Notamacropus eugenii: one gene and its partner. The protein of the gene in region 1 interacts with the protein of each later gene in a biochemical or structural test. Links are inferred from orthologs where the notes say so. Each region holds a gene or a part of one and is shown in the gene's direction. Other genes may lie near its edges.

Region 1 (12,134 bases):
TCTGGTTAGTTCAAGGATTAACCTAACCAAAGGCATATAAACTTAGATGACTTTAGAAGCAGAGAATAAGGAATGTAGTGTTAGAGAGCAGCCTCCTGATTGAACATCCCTGGCCCGGTGCATTCTTGAGTTAGAAACTGGAAATTTTAGTAGAAAAGTAGTATTTTTGTCACTATTACAGCTTAAAGGAAGGCTTCAGAAAAAGGAAGGCAGACTTGGGAAATGAACACCTGGTTAAGGAGATGGTCTTTGAGAATGGGATTTGAATTTCTAGACCATGGATTATATTTTAATAAGATGGTGGGCTCCTGACCAGGGATGGAGTAACCTAACAGAGGCTATTATGAATATATTTTCCTGAAGTCTTGAAAATCTAAACAGAAAGACTTTATACTGGAAAAACTGTTTACATTTATCTACCACACAAGGTATCATAGAGTAAGTAAAATATGGGAAGCATTTTTCCCCACAAAAAAAGACAAGATTGACAAGAGAGACATTGAAAAGATCATAGGAGGCAAGAGAGTGTATATGCTATGTTGAAAAGAGATAAGGTAAGCAAAAAGGGGCAGGAAAGTTAGAATGGCATTGTATACTCTGAAGTAATGTCAAGGCTTCCAATGGCTTATGTGGTCAGCCATTGGTTATGCCTCACTATCAATATGTGATCAGCCCATCTTTTGTTATCACGTATTTTTTTGATTGTACATGTTGCAACATTTCTTCTGTATGCTTGTTTTTCATAATATGCTATAGCCAGCTCACAACTCCCATTTGCCTTTCCACTGCTCTTTGGGTGATCTTAGCTTCGATTCTTTGGAGACTGTAGTGTTCAATAACTCACAGCTATATGGCAATACCAGAAGAATATTGGTGTTAAAATGATGTCTTTGTTTTGGATAGAATCAAGGCATTAGTAAGAGAACATGACAATTTTCCAAAGACCTGCTCTGCTCCTGTTCAATCCTGGACTTAGCTCATTGTCTATTTGAAGTGTCTGTCCAAGATAGGTATACTAATGGACAAACTCCAAAGCTTGCCAATCTAACTACATAGCAGACTAAGATACTGCAGTATGAGCAGAGTTTTAAACTGAAGATGAGAATGACCATTACATTGTTGTGAAGAGTCCTAAACTTAAGACCTGGCTTCAAATCCTCCTATAGACTCTTATTAGCTCTATGACTTTCAGCAAACTATTTAACCTCTCTGGACTTCAGATTCCTACTCTACAAAATGAAGAAGTTGGACCTGTACTACTGAGGTGTTTTTCTATTCTAAATTTTGTTGAGGTGCTTTTCTATACTAAATTCATTATCCTAGGAAGGACAAGGAAGGACATAGACCACAGTTGCCATAGAACACTATAAATTAATATCTTTGCAAACTTTATGTGTGGTGGGATACAAATTGTTGGCTTATGTAAACACAGTTGACTTCATGTCATATCAGATGAGTGGTCTTGGAAACTAAAATTCTCTGCATGTATAAATAGAGATATATATCTTTTTAATAGTCTATGGGAAGTAATCGATAGAGAGCTAGTCTTGAAATCAGGATGAGTTGAGTTCCTGTCCTTTTTCTGACATATACCTTTTGTGGGATCATGGAGAAGTTAGTCTATCTCAGCCCCTAGGATGATAAGTTACAGATGAGTATCTGATTTATATCAAGGGAGGGAGTTTCTACATTGAGAAGATTCCCTGATGAAACCACAAACTGAGACAAAATGAATGTTCTTAGGACCACATTCAAATACATGAAATGATAACTACATATATTTATATAATGATCAATGTATCATGCATTACATTCTAACACTCTCAGTCACAACCAGATAAAAATATTACCACTACTTTTACTTCAGGTTATCCTTGATTTATTTTTCTTTACCTTTTTTTACCTACTTGTTCCCATTTACTGAAATCCCTTTCATCAAAACATACTCCAAACAGGAGAACCAGAGAACAGGGATAAAATGGGAAAAGAGAATGTTGGAGAATCTTTCTAGGAGTCTTAGTTGAAGAAGCACAAGAATCACAACATTGTAGAATTGGAAGGAACCCTGGCAGCAATCCCACTATCACATACCCAACAAATGTTCACTGAACAAAGCTTTACTGAAGACTTCCAGTGAAGGCAAAACCAATGAGACAACCTGTTCCAATTTTGAACAGCTTTAATTGTGGAGAAATTTTTCCTGACATCAACCCTAAATTTGCTTCTATGAAATTTCTGTGAAATTGTCCTTGATTCTAATCTCTGGGTCCATATAATTCTTCTTCCACATGACAGTCCTTCAAATGCATGAAATCAGCTATTATGTTCTCTACCTCACCCTCCTCCACCTCCAAATCTTCCTTTATCCAGGGTAAATACATTGCATTCCTCTGATTGATTCTTACGTTACCTACACTCCAAGCCTTCCAGCACCCTGGTTGTCCTTCTCTAAGGGCTCTCCAACTTACCAATATCTTTACTAAACAGTTGCATCCAGAGCTAATTGAACGCAATACTCATCTGTGGTTTGACCAGCAAGAATATAGAGGAACTGTTCAGAGCTAGTGTGGTACAGTGGAAAGGACAGGGAATCACAGAGTTAGTGAGCCTGAATGTGAATCTTGGCTCCATTGCCTGTGTGACCAGTCACTTTGACTTTCTGGGACTTGATTTCCTTATTCTTGAAATAATAGGGTTGGACTTGATAACCTCTAAGGTACCTTCCAACTTTAAATTGATGGCGCTATGATCTCCTCATTACTAGAGGCTACGCCTCTTTTAATGTAACCCAAGATTACATAAGCTCTTTTGGTTGCCATATTACACTATTCACACATATAGAGCTTGTGGTCCACCAAAATCCCCAGGTCTTTTTTTAGGCAAATTGCTATCTTGGAATGTTTCTCCCACGCTAAACTTCTGATTTATTTGAATTCAAGAATGAATCATTGTATTTGTCCCTATTGAATTTCATCTGATTATATTTAAACCACTCCTCTAGCCTATGAAGGTCTTTCTGAGTCTTAATTTTTCTTTGTAATATTACCAACTTTGTGTTAGCTGCATATTCAATAAATATGCTATCTCTGCCTTTAATTAATGATAAAAACGTTGTTAAATAGCACAAAACCAAACACAGATTCCCGAGACACTTCCCTGGACACCTTCTACTAAGCTGATCCAACTATTAGCCATTAATCTTTGAATGCGGCCAATCAACGAGTCTCTGATTCATATAACTGAATTATCATGTGATCATATATCTCCATTTTCCTACAATAGAATGGGACATTTTTTAAAATGCTTTGTAAAAAATCCACATAAACTATATTTGCAGCATTCTCCTGAGTTAATACTTTAGTAATCCTGTCAAAAGTGGAAATAAGGTTAGTCTGACATGATCTGTTTTTGACGAAGTCATTCTAGCTCTTTGCAGTCATTATTTCCTCTTCACCAACACATTTGATGCCTTAAAGTGAGAATCAAAACACATCAAGTCCTTCAACAGTCATCAGGAGCAGGGTTTTATTAAAGCCCCATTTTGTCAGAGACAAAAGAAGTAAAAGATCAGTGAAGGATATCCACTCTAACTTCATAATCATCACTTGATGTTTCATTTACATCTTCCCTATTCTAGTTCTACTTTATTTTCTTGTGTGAACTGCTGTGAAAGTGCTCTTACGTTATCAAATATTAAACAACAATAGTAGCTAACTCTGGGGAGAACAGAAAAAATGAAGCTCCCTAGGTTTTGAAATGATTTTTCCTTTTGCCTGAAGTCATGTACAAATAAAACCTTTTTCTATACTGAGTCTATGCTTCAGAATTGTCATTATCTCAAAAGTCTGAGATTGTTACCTAAAACAAAGTTCAGGGTCTGCTGCAACTAAAAGACTCGTAATTCTTTCTTCTCTGTGTGGTTTAAGCCACACATGTATGTGATCTCCCATATAGATGGAAACAATTCTGAGAGCATTATGCTTCTAAGAAGAAATGCTGACACATTCACAAGGCTTCTTTTAAGAGTAGGAACACCAAGCATTTTCTTTTCTTATGCTGGTGGAAAATACTCCAAAACTTTGAAAACTATCAATATCTTCAAATGTCTAGCCTTAAGCTAACGAGCATCCTGGTGTGAAAGAATTCCTAGCCGCTAATTGAACATTTTACAGAGGCAGATCTGGCAACCCAAAGCAAATAGGGGCTCAGAAATTAAGCTGGGCTTATTTGGGAAGGCAGTGGGTGTGCAAAAAGAGAAAGAAGCAAGTAGGAGTGATGCTATATGTCCGGTTTAGACAAAGTTTGTGCCTATCCTTGTCCAAATTAGGAGGGTGGTTATGCACAATCTGTCAGAAGTGGTTCTGTTCCTTAGCTCTCCTATTAACATAAATAAGGGGGCGTCCACATACAATCACTGCACTGTACATACGTTAGTACCCATTCAGATAGACATATGCATATACATAAGTGGACACATACTTCTCTCGCCATAGACATACACACAGGCCCGTTCACAGCTACGTTCACTGTCCCCCTAAGGGTATTCGCACCTATGTCGCCAAATCTCCACAGGCCCACGGAGCCCCTTATTTCCAGCCCTGTTCACAGACAGCGATTACCTGCATCCTTGCTAGAGCTTTTAAATCAGCCCCATTCGTGCGTCTTTCGAGGGGAAATCCCAACTCTGAGCCCCCTGTGCGTACACTAGATGAAAGGAGAAAAATGGGGCTGAATACTAATGAATGGTTGAGAAGAAAAGACACAGTTGCCCTCATCCCTTCACTCATGGCCCCAAGCTCCTCACCTCCCATTCCCATCTTCTCCCTGGCTACAGGCGTAGTCTGGCGGGCAGGTGAGCTCCCGGTGCTACCTGGGCGGGCAGGGAGGGAATGCTTTGAGCCGCTTAGCGAGGAGGAAGCTGCAGTTGGCCAGTTAGGGAAGCTGAGATGGTTCCTCCCTACTCCCTGCCCCCTCCCCCCTCGCTCAATTGGGACACCCAAGACTCAGCCTCCTCCCTCTCTCCCACCCTTCTCCTGCCTTTCCACAAGTCCCCAGCCCCTCGGGCTTGGGAGCGCAGCTACAACACGCCGGCGCTCACTCCCCTCCACCAACCTGGAGTGACGCAAGCAGAGACTACTTAAGGGAGGATTAGAGGCGGCAAGACGCGGATTCCCAGTCTGCTCCCTCTGTGCATTCAGGGTCGCGATCCCGGCCCGGCCTCGGAGGCGGGAAGTAAGGCACCAGCCTGCACTGTTTGAGGCTGCAAGACAAGGGTCGGGCTGCCCTGGGACACAGAGACAAGGCAGGGACCTTGGTTCCCCCCCAACCCACCCGACTGGGAAACAGGAGCAAGAGATCTCTTTCCAGCTAGCAGCAGCCTAGTGACCAGTACATTCTCCCAGTCGCCCCCACCCCCTGCCTGGACGAAGCCACACAGGGAATCTTCCCCAGGCTGGACAGCAACTGACCGGTTGGTGCCCTAGTCCCTGGACAGCACCAGCTGCTACCCCATTTCTCTGGACTCGCTTGGATTTCCCCCCTCTCTTTTAAGTGAAAAAAAGAAAAAGAAAAAAGGGAGGGAGGGGGAAGAGTAGTGGATTAGGTTTATTTTGCTCTTATTTTTGGTCTTTAGCCCCCGTTGTCGGGTGGTGACTGGGGAGGGGGCCAGGAGCAGGGACGTGCCCAGCGCTGCCCAGTCTTTGTCTGCTGCCTCCGAATGCACAGCGATGGGGGAATGGACCATCTTAGAGAGGCTGCTGGAAGCCGCCGTACAGCAACATTCCACTATGATTGGGAGGTAAGGGAGCCAAGCCGCGCTGGACCAGAGCCTCACAGCGTCCACCCCTTCCCATGGCCCCCTTTCCTCACCGATTCGAGTCCTCTTTCGCGCCCCTTCCCCTCCCCCGTCTTTCCCTCCCTCTTGCCTGGGCCCATGGGTTCTGGATATGGCGGGACCATCCCAAGCCCAGAACTGCCCCTCTCTCTTCCAGTTATTTCCTTCTCTCCCCGGGATCTTCCTGAAAGTTGATCTCTTGCTGGGAGGCCCCTTCCATGGGGTAACTCTTCCCCCATCAGAACCGGAACTCTGGGCACAGGTTGTTGGGTCCCCTAGTGCTCCGAGTCAGAGCTGATCTCCCTTCTGTTTCCTAAATAGAAGCTGGAAGGGAGTATGGTGTTTGGAGAGAGAAGGGCGAAGAGGGAGATGGAGTCATCCTTTGAGGCTGAAGCTTCTTTCCTCGATTTATTCAAGAAAGCTTATAGTGTGAGAAACACACACATACACCAGGATTATTTTTGTGTGTTTATACATATAAATAGACTATTTTAAATATAACATTAGGGATAATATTTACATAGAGAATGAACATTTATGGAGTCCATTCACACGATACATATCCCTAGTTTGCATTTGATGTAATTGTGTGTCTATGCCATATACATAATGAATATATATGTATTATGTAGAGATGCATTATGTATAGATGTATCTGAATCTCTTGCATATACACACGTCTCCAAAATATTTGCGTATATACTCGGGACCTCTGAAACGGAGGTGTACAAATCCCAGATGGTCAGAAAGCTGAAAGCATAATTGCTCTCAGATTCTTAGTTCAGGACCACTGAATGGTGGACAGCTCCTCAGCCAAAGCACCAGGGAAACACCAGGGATGGGATGGGAGGAGCAGGGGATCCCTAAGCCAGCAGCAGGCCACTGAGTGACTCTCAGCCCATGACATTCTTTCTTTCTCCCTCCCTACTTCCCTCCCAGGATCCTGCTGACAGTGGTGGTGATCTTCCGGATCCTCATCGTGGCCATAGTGGGTGAGACTGTGTATGATGATGAGCAGACCATGTTTGTGTGCAATACCCTGCAGCCAGGCTGCAACCAAGCCTGCTATGACCGAGCCTTCCCCATCTCTCATATCCGCTACTGGGTCTTCCAGATCATCATGGTGTGCACCCCTAGCCTCTGCTTCATCACTTACTCAGTGCATCAGTCTGCCAAACAGAGGGAACGCCGTTACTCTACTGTCTTCCTCGCCCTGGACAGGGACCCTCCTGAATCGATTGGGGGTCCTGGAGGGGCTGGGGGTGGGGGCAGTGGTGGGGGAAAGCGAGAAGACAATAAGAAGCTTCAAAATGCCATTGTAAATGGAGTACTACAGAACACAGAGAATACTAGCAAGGAGAACGAGCCAGACTGTCTAGAGGTGAAGGAGTTGGCCCCACACCCATCAGGGTTGCGCACAGCAGCACGCTCCAAGCTCCGTCGGCAAGAGGGCATCTCCCGCTTCTACATCATCCAGGTGGTTTTCCGTAATGCCCTAGAAATTGGGTTCCTGGTAGGCCAATACTTCCTTTATGGCTTCAGTGTCCCTGGACTGTATGAATGTGACCGCTACCCCTGTATCAAGGAGGTAGAGTGCTATGTTTCCCGGCCCACAGAGAAGACAGTCTTCCTCGTATTCATGTTTGCTGTGAGTGGCATCTGTGTTGTCCTCAATCTGGCTGAACTCAACCACCTGGGCTGGCGCAAGATTAAGCTGGCTGTGCGTGGTGCACAGGCCAAGAGGAAGTCTGTCTATGAGATCCGCAACAAGGACCTGCCTCGGGTCAGTGTTCCCAATTTTGGCAGGACTCAATCAAGTGACTCTGCCTATGTGTGAAAGGATAGATGGGGTGGGGAGGACTTGGGGAGATAGCAAGTAGCTTCACTCTCTCCATCCAAAAGTGGGATAGGGCTGCTTGCAGAGAAACTTTTAGACCATGGCCTCAAGAAGGGGAAAAGAACTCCAATCCAGTAGAAACACGGGCAAATGATACACCATTGACTCTATAGAGTCAGCTGGGTAAAGAAAAGGCTTCATGTGGAAATGGGCCCTCTTTACCCCATGGGTTGGTATGACCTGACTAGAAACGGACACAAAAGGTTACTGGTTAGGATCACATTGAGCTTTGGCTGAGCCCGGGACATTGGTGAATGGTGGGAGTGAAATACTTTCTTGGTATAAAAATTGTGATCAACCTCCTCAGTTTATCCCCTCTTCCTGGAAAACAGGACAGGCATCTCTAAAGTGCTCCTCTTCTCCACCAGCAAGCCCCTCCCCAACACCCTGGGACAGCTTGCCAGCTTTTTCTATGTATGACCTTACAGCATACCTATTATGGCTTTCTTACCAGTCAACTAGAGGGAATTGTTTGGGGTGTGCTGTTAGGACTGGCTATTGAAGAGGTTTGCATTTGAGCCCAGACTGATTGGTCCTTACTTATGATGAATACCTGTAGAATGTCTCAGATTTCCAATTTTCTAACTCAAACTGCACTGGTGCTGTTTATTAGGGGAAAGGGGTGGGTGGGAAGGGTATTGTAATATGCAAATACAAAAATACTTATATGAGGGTTGCTGCACTGTTTGGAATTGAATCATGAGCCGAGGACATCCCTTCTGCCTAGCTCATGAAGTTTTGAGAGTGTCCTTTTTTTTTTTTTTTTTAAATTTTGGAAGTCTATCAGAGCCACAGAGTTTGTACCTTGGTGTATCTCACTTCTTGTTTTCTAATGTAGTTCTCTTGCACAGCACTACAGCGCTTGATTTTTGCCATGTTTTGGATTTGCCTGTGTGCTCACACCAGAGACCTTAATCATCCCATGTGAATTCTGGATTTATCAACTTTGTCAATTCTTTACACACACACACACACACACACACACACACACACACACACACACACACGCACACCCCTAGCACTGGCCTAAGTAACCTGGAACTAAATACTATCCAGTTAACTGACATGTATTTATTGATATTTATTTGAGACATATACCAAAGGTTCAAAAGTTATTGCTTTGGACTGTGAATAAATGTTACCTTCTCTCTGCTCTTATTAATTTAAGTGCCATATAATAACCTTGAATATTTCACTATGTATTTAATCAAAGAGTTGGCCAGGGGTACCATTTGGAGTAATATGTTTTTATGAAACCCTTTGTTTCCTTTACATTATGACCCTTGATTTAGCTATGACAATGGTGTAACATACAACAGTGATCCATCTCAAATAAAGGACTTGCCTTTTTTTTGTAAAAATAGAACTTTCTGAGCTTTCTTTCTCCTTGGCTGGGGCCTCTTTTTTTTTATAGAAATCTTGAAACTGTTATATTTAGCAGAGAACTGGGAAGAGAGGACAGTTTAATCAACTTTATTTGATGGTGACCTCAAATCCCAAACAATCACTCAAGCATGAGAAATATTTTGGAGACCAGTGTATTTTGTGACATTGGGGGTAAGGGTTAGCAGTGAGGTCTTATAATTGTGAGACACCTCATGTTTAATTTCTCATTTTGTTTTTCCCTCTGCATGCTCTCTGGGGGACAAAACATTGACAAAACTTCTCTTAACATATGTGCCAGTAACATATCATGAGTCAGTCATTAGGAACTGGTTCAAGGAGTTGAATTGTCTCTGTTTCCACCACTTTAACCCTGCTATAACAGACCTGTGGAGAAGACATGGTAGACCTCAAGATTTTTTCTTCCAAGCCCCACATTCCCAACTTCACTCTTTCCTGGAAAACAAAGAAAACTTCATCTGCCTTTTAATCCATTATTTTATGTTAGGATATTTCAGAAGGGAATGTTTCTTTGCTGTCTGAAAATATCCCACATTTTAGAGCTTTCCATTCTTCACTAGTGTGTGATATCAGGTTCAGTGGACTTGGCAGGGTATTGAAAAAAGTTTTCTGATTCAAAGTTAAAAAACTTGGTTTGAGTCTTAGCTCTTCAATTCATTGGTCAAGTCACAACTTCTTTGGGCCTGTGTGTGTATATACATATATATATACATATATAATATATGTATATACATATATATGCATATATACATACATATATATTTGTGTGTAATACTCTGAAATTTGTGTATATATATACAATATATACATATAGACACATGCACATACATGTACACATACATACATATATATAATAGATGTATTACCCAATTCCCAGAATTCTTATGAGTATCAAATCAGATAATGTATATACAATCCCTTTGCAATTATAGAGTGCTAAAAATTTGTGAGCTGTTATTAGGATTTATTTAAAATTTGGTTTGGTCATTCATTGCAAAGCTCCCATGGAATTTCTTAGATGATTTTTATATAAATACAGAAGAATCTTATTTCATCCTTAATTCATAGTGTGATATTTTTTAGAAAGAAAAATGTGGATAGTCTAACAGATATGCTTTCATCTTTAATATAAATGGGGTTCCCAAGAATATTATTCCTTGGAGAAAGCAACTCTCTATTCATTTTGTAAACTAAAAAGTAAAAAAAAAATGTTTCAAAGCACCTCTGAGAGATGAAGAAAGAGTGTTGCTTGATAGCACTAAGCATATGGTTGGGTGTGAAAGAAATGGGAGTGTAGAAAACAAGGGCTGTTGTATTTATACCCTGATATCATATGAAATAATTATCATATCTTCTGGGAAAACTGAATTCTACACTATTTTTCAGATACTTAATTTTTTTAAAGTAGGCACTTCCAAATGTCCGTACATTGATCTTAAAGGAGAAGAAACTTGTACTATTATCTCAACATGTGTGAACATCCACCACAATTTGGGGAATGTTAGTCAGTGTCTCTTTTGTTTTATTTTTAATAAGGGAAATCTACTGGTAGGTTAAAGGAAGATGCCGTCAATGGGGCCCTCTAGAATGGGGTGAGTTGAGGGAGTGTTTTCTATGAGCTCTTAAGTTTAAGGTTTTCCCCCATTGATCCACATCGCTCAAATTCCTTTCCTTCTTCCATCTGATTCAGCTCATATAATTCAATTCACTAGAACAAACTTTTTAAAGTAACTGCTATGTGCACAACGCTGTACTAGGCACTGAGAATACAAAGACAAAATGAAAATAGTTCTTGCTTTTGAGGAACTTACCTTCTACTGGAAGGATATAACACATAACTAGAAAAGTAAATAGAAGATCATTTGAGAAGGGAGAGATCACTAACAATTATGAAAGACTTCCTGCAGAAAGATTATAAGATGCAAAGGTAATGAGAGACTGAGTTCTAAGCATGGGGAACAGCATGAGCAAAGACACAGAGGTGGAAGATGTAATGCCAAGTCTGGGGAACAGCAAGAACGCCTGTTTGGCTAGAATATCATGTGTAATACGTAACATAGAGGGGATATGCAAAATGTCTGGAAATGCAGATTTTCCAATGCCACTCAGGAGTGGCATTGTTCTCATTATGTGTAAAGATTCAAATTCAAGAACAGGGTAAAGGCCCTTGAATTACTAGGCCCCAAGATAGGAAAGTGGAGAGGGTCTACTTGCTAAATTCTGCAAGCTTATCGTTTAATATTTTAAAATATTCATGATTTTATCAGCTTGTGTACTCTCTCCCTCCACTGATATACATCGCAAACTCTTTTTTATACCTGAGCAACTGGTTTTCCAATTTGACAGGGTGGCAGCAGGGCATTGGGAATCATCACCTGATAGGCATGTTCCGGTGATGACCCTTTCCAAACTTAGCTAGGCATGCCCTTAGACAATAACATACAGTCACTTGCTGGTTCCATTTGAAGCTTTTCTGACTTTATTAGGATTTGTCAAAGCTCATGGCTCATTGGCACAGCCTGAGAACACAAACCCAGAGTCTCTTCCACACCATGGTAAATTATCAAATTAGGATTATAGTAGAGATTTAGACCTAAGAAGGGTTAAATGATAATAATAGCAGCTAGTATTTATAGAATGTTTTATTTTTGCAAAGTACTTTACATTACATTACCTCATTTGATCCCACAATAATCTGGTGAGGTTATTATCCATATCCTAGTTGTGTGACCTCGGTCAAGTCACTTAACTTCTGTCCTCCTCAGTTTCTTCAACTGTAAAATGAGGATCAAAATAACACCCACTTCCAAAGGTTTCTGTGAGGATCAAATGGGACAATATTTATAAAGTGTTTAGCTCAGTGCCTGGCACATAGTAGGTGCTTAATAAATGCTTATTTCCTTAATTATTCCTTTTCAAAAACTTTTATTGATTTGATTTTAAATTTCAGAAATAAAACGAGCATTTCCATAACATAATAGAATTAAAAAAGATGATTGA
Region 2 (12,134 bases), on another chromosome or scaffold:
AATTTACATCTAAAATTATGAATAAAACTGAATATAATCTTCAAACTTTTGTTTACTACTTGAATTTCTCTTCTGTGTACTAACTGTGTCCAGTAATTTGTTCACTGGAAATAAGTATTGCCCTTAAAACTTTTTAATCTATTCCATGTAAATTCTGTAGCATCATATAGTCATCAATTCCCATTCCTCCTTCTCCCCATGTTTCTTTTCATTTTAGTTTTACCAATTTTTATTTAGCAAAAGTTTTGTACTACATCAAATATATCAGCCTTTTCCACAATTATGTCTTCCATGGCTTTCATAGTAAGGAATTTATTTGGCATAATGGCTAGTGTGCTGGATTTGGAATCAGGAAGACTGAGATTCAAATTTCACCTCTGACACTTACTAGTTATATGTCCACTGAAAAATTATTTAAACTGTCTGAGCCTCTTCTATTTTCTCATCTGTAAAAAGAGAATAATAGTACCTGCAAATACACATATAGATAATGTAAATAAAGCACTTTTCAAATCACTATGGGAATGTCAATTATTAGTGCATTTTTCAAAAATTACATTCTCCCTCACCTGATAATACTCCCATTTCAGTGGAATAATACTCCCTCTCTCCTGCTTCTTCTTCCTTGTCTAACTGCTGTTTTCTTACTTGTTTCATCTTCTTCAAAACTAGTAAGTATATTTATCTTCCAAGGTTCTGGCCTCTTCCTCCTAATTCTTACACCTCTCCTTTACTGTATCATATTGTGCTTTGTATTTGGCTGATTGTATGTGCCTTATCCCCATTAGTATATTACAGACTCCTTGAGGATAGACATTTTGTTATTTCTCCATCTTTGTACATTTAGTAGAGTATCATGCACATGTTGTTTCCTCCCAGTAGATCATCCATCAGTTGTTTGAGGGATGGGCTTCTTTCTGTCTTTATATAGACAGTGAGTGACAAACAATATGTGCTTAATGAATATAGTCTGAATGGAAACGAATATACCTTGAAATTTAATTCATTGATCTATGTTATGGTACATAGTATAAGGTATGGATCTAAATTTATTTTCTCCAAAAACATTAAACTTATTGATTATGCTTTTCTCATACTTTGACTATTTGCTATTTTTCATGATTCAAATATAGTTTGTTATGAAGTCATAGGTCCAGATCTGGAAGGGATCTCAGAAGTTATTTACTTCAACATCCTCACACAAAAGAAAGGAAACTAAGGCCCAGTGAGGTGAGATGACTTGCCTAAGGTCAAAGAGGTAGCGACAGACATTGGAACCCAGATCTTTTAACTCTTGAGTCCAGTGTCCATTCTTCATGCTCCCACTTCTAGTCACTGCCTTTAGTGGCAAATAGCAATTGTCTGTATTTTTTCCTCTCACATTCTCGTATACAAAATTAAGGTGTTAAGAGTATTGTTGTTTTCATAATCGCTGGGACAACCAAGCATCTTTAGCTCTACAGGGACAAGCAGACACTCCTCCCAGGAGACTGTAAACTCCCTGATGGATGGATGGTCCCTATATCTATTCCCAGACAACAGGAGGCACTTAATATTTGTTGATTGATAATCAGATCTACAAAGTCTAGTACCTAGTAGAACCTCCTTCTAACAAAGTCAAAGCTACTTATCTTCTGTTATGTGGCATCCTAATAACATGATGTTACCTATGAAATTGGGAGTGGGGAGGAATAAGCATAATAATAATTATAATAAGGTGAATATGTGCCAGGCACTCTGCTAAGGGCTTTTTACAAATATTATCTCATTCGTTCTTCACAATAACTCTGTGAGGTAGGTGCTACTAATATCTTACATTTGAGGAAATTGAGGCAAACAAAGGTTAAATAATTTGCCCAGGATCACAAAACTAGTTAAGTGTTTAAGGATGGATTTGAACTCGTCTTCCTGACCCCAGGCCCAACATTCTATCTACTTTGCCATAACCTGCCTGACTTAATATGTGACTTGGTGAGATATTAGGTTGTTGGGAGCTCTGGGAGGAAACTCTCAATGCTTGCTTCTTAACAAAACCTAATGTGCTTCCTTACCTTTACCACTGAAGGCAGAACAACGATAAAGGCTTGATATTCATCTAATATGTCAATGTCTTATCACTCATCAGGATTGTATTAATAGACCTTGTTCTCAGTGGATGGAATTAGATGGACCCATTTTTTGCTTTGGCAAACTATACACAAGCAAGCAAATTACAAGATGGAGGGTAGAGCCTAGCTTTGTTATAGAAATAGAACAATAAAGGTATAGAAATATCAGTTAAGGGAAACTAGAGGCAGAGATATGCAAGAAAAGAACAAAGAATGTGAGGAATCAGAGAAAGATAACTAAGCATTAACCAAGGAAGGAGGAGGCTAATAAGTTACCATATGGAGGGAATAAAAGCCTTCAAAGTCCAAAGAGTATAGAACTGATTTCCTCAATATTCCAAGGTAGAGTAAGTACTACTTTGGACTAGGTATAGAAACAGGATATAACTAAGAGAAAATCAAGTGTAAGGGGCCAAGCTTCAGTAAGAATCTAGAATGGAGGAAATCATTAAGAACAGTATTGGGGTTTGTTTTTTTTGGCTTGACAAGATACTGGTACATCTTAACAAACTCTGTGTAACTGTGTAAGCTGTGTAACCATAATTTCCCTAAACATGCAATTTTTACCTTAAGATTTCTAACTTAATCATTTGACTAAAAATGGGCTGAGTATAACACTGCAGAACAGAGGTGACTAACAGGTGAACTTGTAGCCTTTCTTCCCCTAAACCTGTAGCCTTTTTCCATCTCTCTCCTGGGCTGGGTCAATTATCATCTCTATCCAGATGACACTCAGCTCTATTTATGAACTATGAGATATTTATGAGATTTAATACATGACAATCATCTGAGATTAAGTAAGTGTAAAAAATACTTCATACAGTGCCTGACAAGCTAGATACTTATTCCCTCCCCCTTTTATTTGTCCAGCCTAGTCTCTCTTATCTTTCCAACTTTCTATTAGACACTTCAAACTGGATGTTCTGTAAACAACTTAAATTTCATATGCCCCAAACTGAAATCATTATTTTTCTCTGTAAGTCCTCCTCCTTCCAAAATTCCTTATTATCATTCAGCACACCACCTTTCTTTGGTCACTCAGGCTCACAACTAAGTTGTCATTCTTGACTCCATTTTCCTTTCATATCCAATCAGTTGTTAATCAAGTCCTGTCACTTCTACTTTTGTAGTATTTCTTGCATATGCCCCCTTCACTCCTCTGACGCTGCCATCACCCAAGGCAAGCCTTTTTTGCCTCACCCCTAGAATAGCTTGCTGGTTGGTCTTCCTGACTCAAGTCTCTGCCCACTTCACTGCATCCTCTACTCAACCAGGCATTTTCACTGGCCGCCTGCCATGGCTGGCTCTCTATCTCTGACTCCTGGTTTCCTTCAAAGTCTCACTTTCTGCAAAAAGTCTTTCTTTAATCACAGTATCTATGATTATGCCCAATTTATTCTTTATGTATCTTACTTGTACATAATTGTCACATTTTCTTTACCCCATTAGACTGTGTGTGGCGGGCTTCTGGAGAACAAGAACTGTCTTTAGCCTTTCTTTGTACCCCCAGTGCTTGACCCATAGGAGGTAAATAAATGCTTGTTGATTGGGAGCAGAGTTAAAGAACAAGGGTGAGCGAGAGTGGTCTGAAACTTCTACCAACCTTCCACCTTCTCCTAGTTCATGCCTCCACAACCCTTCATGCAACATCATTCGAGCAACAAAATTCAACTATCTCTTCCTAAGGCAAAGGTTCTTCACTGTTTTTGTCATGAATCCCCTTTGGCAGTCTGGTGAAGCCTATGGAGCCCTTCTGATGTTTTTAAATAATTAACTACACACAGGATTACACAAGAAAACAATGATACTGAAATACAGTTACCCCAAAATGAACCAAAAAACCACCCAAGTTCTTGGTGGGCCAAAGGAAGAACTCCTGAATTAGTTTTCCCTCTCCCTTCACCCCCCACCCCAATTATCCTTATGGAAGCTATCACAATCATTTTCCCAAGGCATGGCAAGCCTTCAAAGGCCGTTTTCCATATAAAAACCTGAGCCTGGTAGGGACCATACTTTCCAAATATTTCAATCACCAGAAACATGTACGTTGTAGGAGTTAGCTGGAAAGCCATTTATCCACGCAATAAATGCGCACTAGGGTCCATCGGTTCCTTCTGCTGCTTTTTCCACATTCATTCTACTCTGGAATCTCAGGGTGTCCGCGTTTCTCAATAATAAAACCCGAGAGTGAGCCCCACCACTTTTCCCATCTTTCTCCTCCTCCCCTCCCACACGCAGCACTGTGTCCTTTCCCTTTTTTGGGGGGGGGGCACCGATTCTCATTTCCTCTCTCCCTGCCCCCCCTCCAGCCCAGGCTGCCCGTCCCGTCCCGTCCCTTCGCCTCCCCAGGCCCGCACAGGCGGACGCCGGGGCCACAGGCCCCCCGGGGCGTCCTCCCCTCCTCCGCTCAGAACCCGCCGCTGTCCAGACCGTTACCTCTCCAGTTCCTCGTCCTCTTCCATGGCGCGGCCGAGGGCAGCTTCCGGGCTCCTCAGGTGGCGGGGGCGGCCCCAGGGATGTGCCCCATACCTCGGTCCCCGCGGGCTGAGCAGGAAGGAAGGAGGAGCCGGAGGAGGAGCCGCGGCGGCGCGGCGAGGCGAGGACCCGGCCGAGGGGCGGTGCCTCCTGGCGGCTCTGCCCCCGCCCCCGCCCGGGGGAGCGGCCGCCCCTCACCTGGCGAGCCCCTCCCTTTCCGCTAGTCCGCAGAGAGATTTTTTATCTTCTAGCCCGCCCTCCTCTCCCGCCGGCGGGGCCTCCCCCTTTGCTTGGGGTAATCCCCTCTCCTGACCCGGCCTTGCCTCCTCGCTTGGGAGTGGTCTTCTCCCTCACCTGGCGGGATCTTTCCCCCTCCTCCAAAGGCAGGGCTCGTTACTATTCCTATTCCCTGCAGCCGGGCACCTTGGGGGGTACTCAGCCCCCGCCTCAGGTGACCCTCCTCCCCACAAAGCACCTATCCGGGAATGGGCGAGGATCCCCTCCCCCAGGCCTCCACCAGCCCACCCCCAACTGTCTCCCCCGCGCCCGCCCCCCTCCTCGTGGGGAGCCCTGCCGAGGCTCCTCTCCGAAATGCACGCGGACAAGCCGGGGTGGGAATCCCAGCTCGCTTTATCAGCTGCGTCGGGGGCTAAGGAGAGTGTCTGCATGGGTCTCCTGAGGGGATCCGGTCCCTGCCTCGAGGCTCAGCTTGGGCAGTTGGACGAGTCTCGTTTAAGCTTGGGCGGAGACTTGGGGTCTGGTCTCTATCCTTTCTCCTCGGGGCCTGTCCTGACCCCCGAAACCCTCATCTCTTATCAAGATTTGTCTCTTTCCTTTTCCTCTTCTGTCCTCCGTTGGGAATCCCTTCTTTTCCGGAGCCCCGGAGCCCCACACCCCCGTACCTCCTTCCCTTTCCCGTATTGTTCCTTTTCTCCAGCCAGCCTCCCCTTTCCCTTTTCTCTCCCTCAGGTGTTCTTTCCCACGTGCTTGAGCCCTTTCCCTCGTTTCCACCTCCGCCCCTGTTTGCTCTTTTCCCTGCTCCAGCTGTCTTCTCCCATTTCCACATTTCCCCACGCCTTTCCCCACTTGTTCTCCTCCCCCTCACACATGTGACTCTTCCCCCCAGCTGTTCCACTCCCCATGGCCAGAGCCCCGGGGAAGCCTCCGAGCCAGTCTTCTGCAGGGAAATCAGGCAAGTGACGGAGACAGCCCGGGCCAAGGAGCCGGAGGGTGGGGAGGGGCGATCGGAGGGAACAGCGGGGCGGGGCTGACTCACTCTAACCCGGGAGGCTCTGCTGGGTTAGCGCCCCACCCCCTCAGCTCTTCCATAGGGCGAGCCTCTCCCTGCTCCGCCCCCTCCCTGACCTGAGGCGCGTCTGATTGGCTAGAACGGGTGTCGGGTTAGGCGGTTCGGTCGCGGGCGCTCGCCCCCGGGATGTGAGCAAGCAGGGGCGGTTGAGGCGTAAGTGAAGTCTTGGCCGGAGTTTGCTTCTTGCCAGGAATCCCGCGGCTGCGGCGGCGGCGGCTTTTGGTGAAGCGGAGGCGGGTCACGTCTCTTCCCCCCTCAGCCGGCGGAGGCGGCCGAGCGGACCGAGGCTTCCGGAGCGCCGTGCCGCGGTGGGGTAGCCCTCGATTCCCAGGTAAGTAACTTTGGACTGCGCCTCCCGTTTCGCTCCCGCTCGGCGTTCTCGTCGTCGCCTCAGCGGCGGCAGCGACCTTCTGTCTGCCTGCGTGCGGGGCTCAGGTGCCAGCGCCCCGGGGCGGGGGGGAGGAGCGTCCCCGCTGCGCCCCTTTCCCCGGGCACCGCGTCCTCGCGCTCTTCTTGGCGGCTCCTGTCCGAAGGTGGAGGAGGAGGAAGATCTGGAGGACCGTCTCGGACTTGTCCGGACCAGGGCGCGGGGTGGGTGTGGGGCTGGCCCATCTGGCCCCGGGAGGGACGCCCTCGCTGCCGGCGGTGCCCGGCGGGCGCTCCGGGAGAAGTCAGCCTGGGCCAGGCCGGGACCGCGCTTATCCCGGGGTAGGAAGCTGGGGAAGGAGCCCTCGCCTCTCCGTGGGCTGTCGGAGCAACCCTGCTGGTTTCCTCCGGGACGCTGCGGGGAGGTGGTCCCCCACCCCCAGTCCTCACCTGTTGCCTTTTTATCACCTCCCTCTTGGGCTGGCGGTGGAGGTGGAGGAGAGTGGCCCGAAACCTTCCTGCCCAGATCTTATCGGCCCCGAGGAGGGCAGAGGTGGTCCCCGAGCCTTCCGTTAAGAAGTGACACCTCTTCCCACCTTGGATGCCGTAGGTCGAAGACGCTGTACAGTTACCTGTTGAGGCTGAAGGGCAGCGAGCCCAGAGCTGCACGTCTGACGCAAGTCCCCTCACCTTTTTGACTCTGGACAACTCGGGACTCTAAGATGCAGAGGCTTTCCAGCTTTGCACTGGTAGAAATTCCCTCGACTGAGTATTCTAGGACAGGTAACTGGCTGTGAATGCAGAGAAGGTGCTGGTGGGCATCGACTGAGCTCTCTGGTAATAAGTAATTTATTCAAATGGATTCACAGGCCCTGGCCCCTCCTCACCGTGAAGATGGTTCCAGCGCTTATTTTGTAGTAGGTGCTTAATAAATGTTTGTAGAGTGGAATTGAATTTTAGCATTCCAGTTTATGTACTGTTATGAATACAGTTACATACTCTTCTTTCAGGTGCTACTTTTCAGGATCTGTGCATTTTAAAAAACGTGTACCAGGGCTACTTGGAAGTGTATTTTTTAAAAAATAGAAAAATCACAGAACCTGGAAAGGGAGTAGAGTGAAACAGTCTTAGTGCGGGAGAAAGAAACTATTTTAGGCTCCTGTTAGTTGATGCTGGGTTAAAATTGTGAGTTTCAGCCTCACTCTCCATAGCAGCAAAAGCTTACAAATAAGTTTCATCTTCCTAGCTCTTAGAAGGATCAAAAGATTATAGCTGAAAGATACTTAAGAAATCACTCAAATCACTGAGGTCCAAATAGGTAACGGGGTCGCTGTTACACATGGCCTGGGGTTTGTTTTTTTTGTTTTTTGAACCTCAGTGCTCTTACCCCAAGTCTTGCACATATTCTTTGAACCATCCTCATGTACTCCTAGCCAAGAGGATTGGTCAGAAAAGCCATGAGCTGTGGGAGAAAGGGGATGATCTAACCTTATGCCTGCTCTAGCATATTATTACTGTGAAATCAGTGCTTTTCTCTCTATACATGACTCCTTCATCGTTTATTTTCCCTCCCCCTTTTTTAACTGACTGAATTGTGGCTATATTCTCATAGGTTAAATACAAAGCTAGATTTTTATTAATATAATCAGTGACAAGTGATGAGCATATGGAAAAGGCTAGAAAATGTACTCTGAAAGACAATTTCTTCAGACACTTCAAATGTCTACTGTACGTTGGCCACACAGCTAGTGGAGGGAGAAAAGGAGTTTCTATTATTGTTATTTTTTGTCTGTCAAAGACCAGGTAGATCTTGAATAACAAAGTTTTACCTTTTTAGTTCACCTGAGATACACAGACTTTTTTATGAGTGAAATATAGGTCAAGTCTGAACCAATGTAAAATAATGCCAGTTTCTGTCCAAATCCCTTAGAATAGAGTTTATAGACCCATTGATCCTTTTCTCCTGTAGTGAATTTCAGGTTGAATGCTTGAGTTGTTAGTTTTTGTGTTTTTGTGCTTACTATGAAAAACTTTAATCATATAGGCAGCAAGGTGAAATAGATTAGAAGAGAGTTACTGTAAAATCCAATTTATCTAGAGTAATTGGGGGAATGGGGTCAGGATTCTGCATGATTCTGTGTTGGGAATGGTAAGAACACCCCTCTTTCTAGATGGATGACCGGTGGCAAGTTGATTAACCTCTCTAAATGTCAAGTCTGTTCATTTGTAAAATAGAATTGTACAAATATACTGGGCTTTTTTGGTGAATAAAGTATCTTTTTAACAAAATATTATATAAATGCATTTATTACAAGCACACATCCTCTCTGTAGCTTCTAGACTTAAAGAGTTCCTAAAGCATTGAGAGGTTAACCCTCAGGTCATGGCACAAGCCAGCATGGGTCAGAGGTGAGACTTGAATTTGACTTGGCTTCCTGGCAGCTCTCTACCCATGCTGCCTCTACCAGTTTTCACATATTTTTATAATGGAAATTTAAAGGACATTTATTTTGTTTCTTCTTCACATAACCTTAGTATTCTCTCAACTACTTCTTAACTAGGACTGTCTCTGTTTTTGCAGATGGGAATACTGAGGCTCCAAGAAGTTAACTTGCCTATGGTCATTTAGCTAGTAGGTGTCAGAACCAGGTTCAAGTCTCTCCTAACCCCTAATTCTCATGTCTTTCCAGAATTTAAAATACAATAAAGTACAGTAATAAGTGTAAACTATTGTTTAATGATTTACACTTAATGTAAAATACCATGACTATAAATCCAGAATTAGACTACATTTGTATTTTCCTGATAATTGATGTATACTTTAAAAAATAAATCCCCGGTGTCATCTCTTCGCTTATTTGCTTCTTTTCTTATAGAAGTTCAAACTATTGGAAAAAAAATTTTTTTAAGCTTTCTGATGGTTTGAATTTTGAATAAGAGGGAGTGTTCTGAAGTAGCCTATATGGGTTTTGTTTCCAGAATTACCTTAATAATATAGTCTTTGAAGTCTTGATAAGAATTGTTGAAAGAAGTATGGTGAGTGGTTAAGTACTGTCTGTTATTACTGGCAGGGTTTAATTAAATACAATTTACACATCTCTAATTGCTTTTGCCCAATTTCACAGAATCTGGACTTTTGATGCTGATAATGAGCGTGGGAGAATTTTGTGGAGGAAAAAGAAAATTTTGTATTTTTCACTCAGAAAGGGAAAAGATAGTATGTGAGGAGAAAATATGCAAATAAGTAATGCATATAATGCAGGCATATCATAGTATTTCAGCAGATCCATGATCTCCTCTGTTGTAATTGCTACTTCCAGTAATGCATAACCCATTCATCATACCTTCTTGACATGTGCAACCCTTTATCCATGTCCTTCTGTAAATCCTTCCGTGGTTGTTCACTCAGTGTGCTTGGGTGCTGGGCTTTTTCTGCAAATCTCTTGCCAGTTCTTAAAGCCCAAGGAAGACCTTCAAGCTCTCTACCGGTTAATTATGCCTGCCTTCGACCACGTGACCAGATCTACTTTCTTTACTGGTCATTCATTCTCTACTGGCTCTACAATTCGAACAGTTCTTTGGTAATGTGCAGTAGACAGCTTTTGCTGGTTCTGAATCTCCATTTCCCTTTAAGCAACCTCACATTTATTTCTGTAGAGACTGATATCCTGTGACTTGCAGCTATAGTATAGTGTACCAGGAGAATATTGATGTGAAAAAGAAGAGCCTTGTTTCAGGCAGCAGCTTAGGGTCATTAAATATGCTGCATAATTTTCCAGATGCAATCTTGCCAGTTTTACTCTTTCTTTTGAGTTCTGGACCTGGCTCATGGTACATTTGCAGTGTCTGTCCCAAGAGATAGACACTGATGGAGCACTTCTAGAGCTTGTTTCTTCACCTGCCCATCTTGGTGTGGACAATAGGTATTCTTTATTCACTTGAGTTTTCCTTCATGAATAATAGTTTCCTCATTAAATGTCAGTACTCATTAAATGCTTTTGACTTATTTATTCATTCCTTCACAAGGTTGGGGAGAGACAGAAGGTATTTTGAAGAGGTTCTAAAGACCAGAACTACCTACTTACTAATAGTTTTGTAATGGTGGTAGTCAACCTCATGAGCACAAAACTGGCCTTTCCCCACACTACTTTCCCTTTATTCCCATTTTTTGAAAGTTGATCCTAAGGAGACAGATAAACCTAAACTCTCCACCCAACCATGTCCATATAATGTTTTTGTAAATGATTTGAAAGAGGGAGTGCACAGTTTAAGTTACTCTAGTCAGTGAAATACAAGCCAGTCCAAATTAATTGCAAAGATATCTTTCAAAGCTATGTGAGTGGGCAGAAAAAGTGGCAAGCAATTAGACAAGTATAAGGTAATACACTTAAGGGAAGGGAAAAAATCTAAATTATACTTAGAGTAACAGGCTTTTTAACTGTCTGTTGCAACTCAGGAAAATGATTTGGGAACCATTCTAGACTATTCCTTGAAGACATCGATCTAATATTCTGCTATGGGAGAAGCCCACCTGGATATTCTTCCTACATTTGGAAAAATACTAGCAGGGACCCAGAAAATATCAACCTCCCCTTATATAAAACATGTATCGAGATGTGGAATATAGATTGGGGGGATTTTTTGCTAATGCAGAAATTTTACAGTAGGAAATACTATGTAGAGACCTCATATAATTCTAACTTGATTGTTTGGCATTTATTTCACAATGACTTTAGAAGGTGTTGACTTTTTAAAAAAATATATACACTAATAAAAGTATCCACATACCCCTTAATTTTGATTTATTGAGTTTGCCCTCTTGAAACAGAATTATAGCTCACTAGATGCCATTTTAAATAGATTTCAGTGTAATTTTGTTAGTGGCTTTAGGAAGAGTAAAGCTTTAGGAAGAAAAACATTAGATAAAACAAATGTAAATTTATTGAATAGTGTTCATTTTAAAATTAAGTCTTTTCTTGTTTTAAAATATAAATTAATTTTAAATGCATTTTTGAAATGTTTTAATATTTATGTGGTTATATTGTTCAGTTGTTTTTCAGTCATGTCTGACTTTTCATGATCCCATTTGGCAAAGATAGTGAAATGGTTTGCTATTTCCTTCTCTAGCTCATTTTACCAATGAGGAAATTGACACAAACAGGGTTAAAGTGACTTGCCCAAGGTCATACAGCTAGTAATTGTGTAAGCCTGGGTTTGAACTCAGAAAGATGAGTCTTCTTAACTCTAGAACTTGGCACTCTATCCATTTCAACACCTAGCTGACTGTGGTTATGTTGAGTAAAACGTAATTTTCCAGAACCACTCAGTCATTATTACATTTTCTGGTACATTGTATTTTATTTAGGATGATCTTGCTTGTGCTCATGGAGAATATAAAATGATTGAGTTCCTTTTTCACCAGAATATTATCCTTATACTATCTATAATTGCTAGCATTTGCATGCTACTTTGCTACACATATGTAGCACATACTTTATGTAATTTGATCCAACAATCCTGGGAGATAGGTTCTGGGAGACACAGTTTGATTTTTCAAGGTCACACGCACTGCTGGCAAGCGTCTGAGGCTGGATTTGAACTCTGATCTTGACTCCCAAGTCTTGCTCTTGATGAACTGTACCACCTCCCTGGTATTTTAAAAAACAAACCCCAAAAAACCTTATGACATTTTGCTGGCATTCTGTGAGTTATTCATTTTACTGGGAGGCAGCAAGCAGTATCACAAAATTATAATTTGAGAAATTGTGTTGGAATGATTTGTGATTTTTTTTAAAAAGCACAAGTCATTTAAATTTTCACATCTGTGTAAATATTCTTTCTAAGGAACTTCACAAGCAAAGAAATGATAGTTTAAG

Evidence for each region.
Region 2: the proteins of GJD2 (region 1) and LNX2 form a complex in vitro, tested with the Homo sapiens proteins (2 studies listed by BioGRID and IntAct, with this or other methods). The link is inferred for Notamacropus eugenii from reciprocal best matches to the Homo sapiens genes GJD2 and LNX2.

What each region holds. Positions count from the first base shown.
Region 1 is NC_092878.1:19,544,271-19,556,404, reverse strand, and holds GJD2 (gap junction delta-2 protein), read left to right. Parts: upstream 1-5,211; 5' UTR 5,212-5,726; coding exon 5,727-5,797; intron 5,798-6,772; coding exon 6,773-7,670; 3' UTR 7,671-8,398; downstream 8,399-12,134. UniProt on the Homo sapiens protein: One gap junction consists of a cluster of closely packed pairs of transmembrane channels, the connexons, through which materials of low MW diffuse from one cell to a neighboring cell.
Region 2 is NC_092876.1:195,751,663-195,763,796, reverse strand, and holds the start of LNX2 (ligand of Numb protein X 2), read left to right. Parts: upstream 1-6,084; 5' UTR 6,085-6,223; intron 6,224-6,868; 5' UTR 6,869-7,041; intron 7,042-12,134. Other genes in the region: protein POLR1D, read right to left, coding at 4,938-5,251.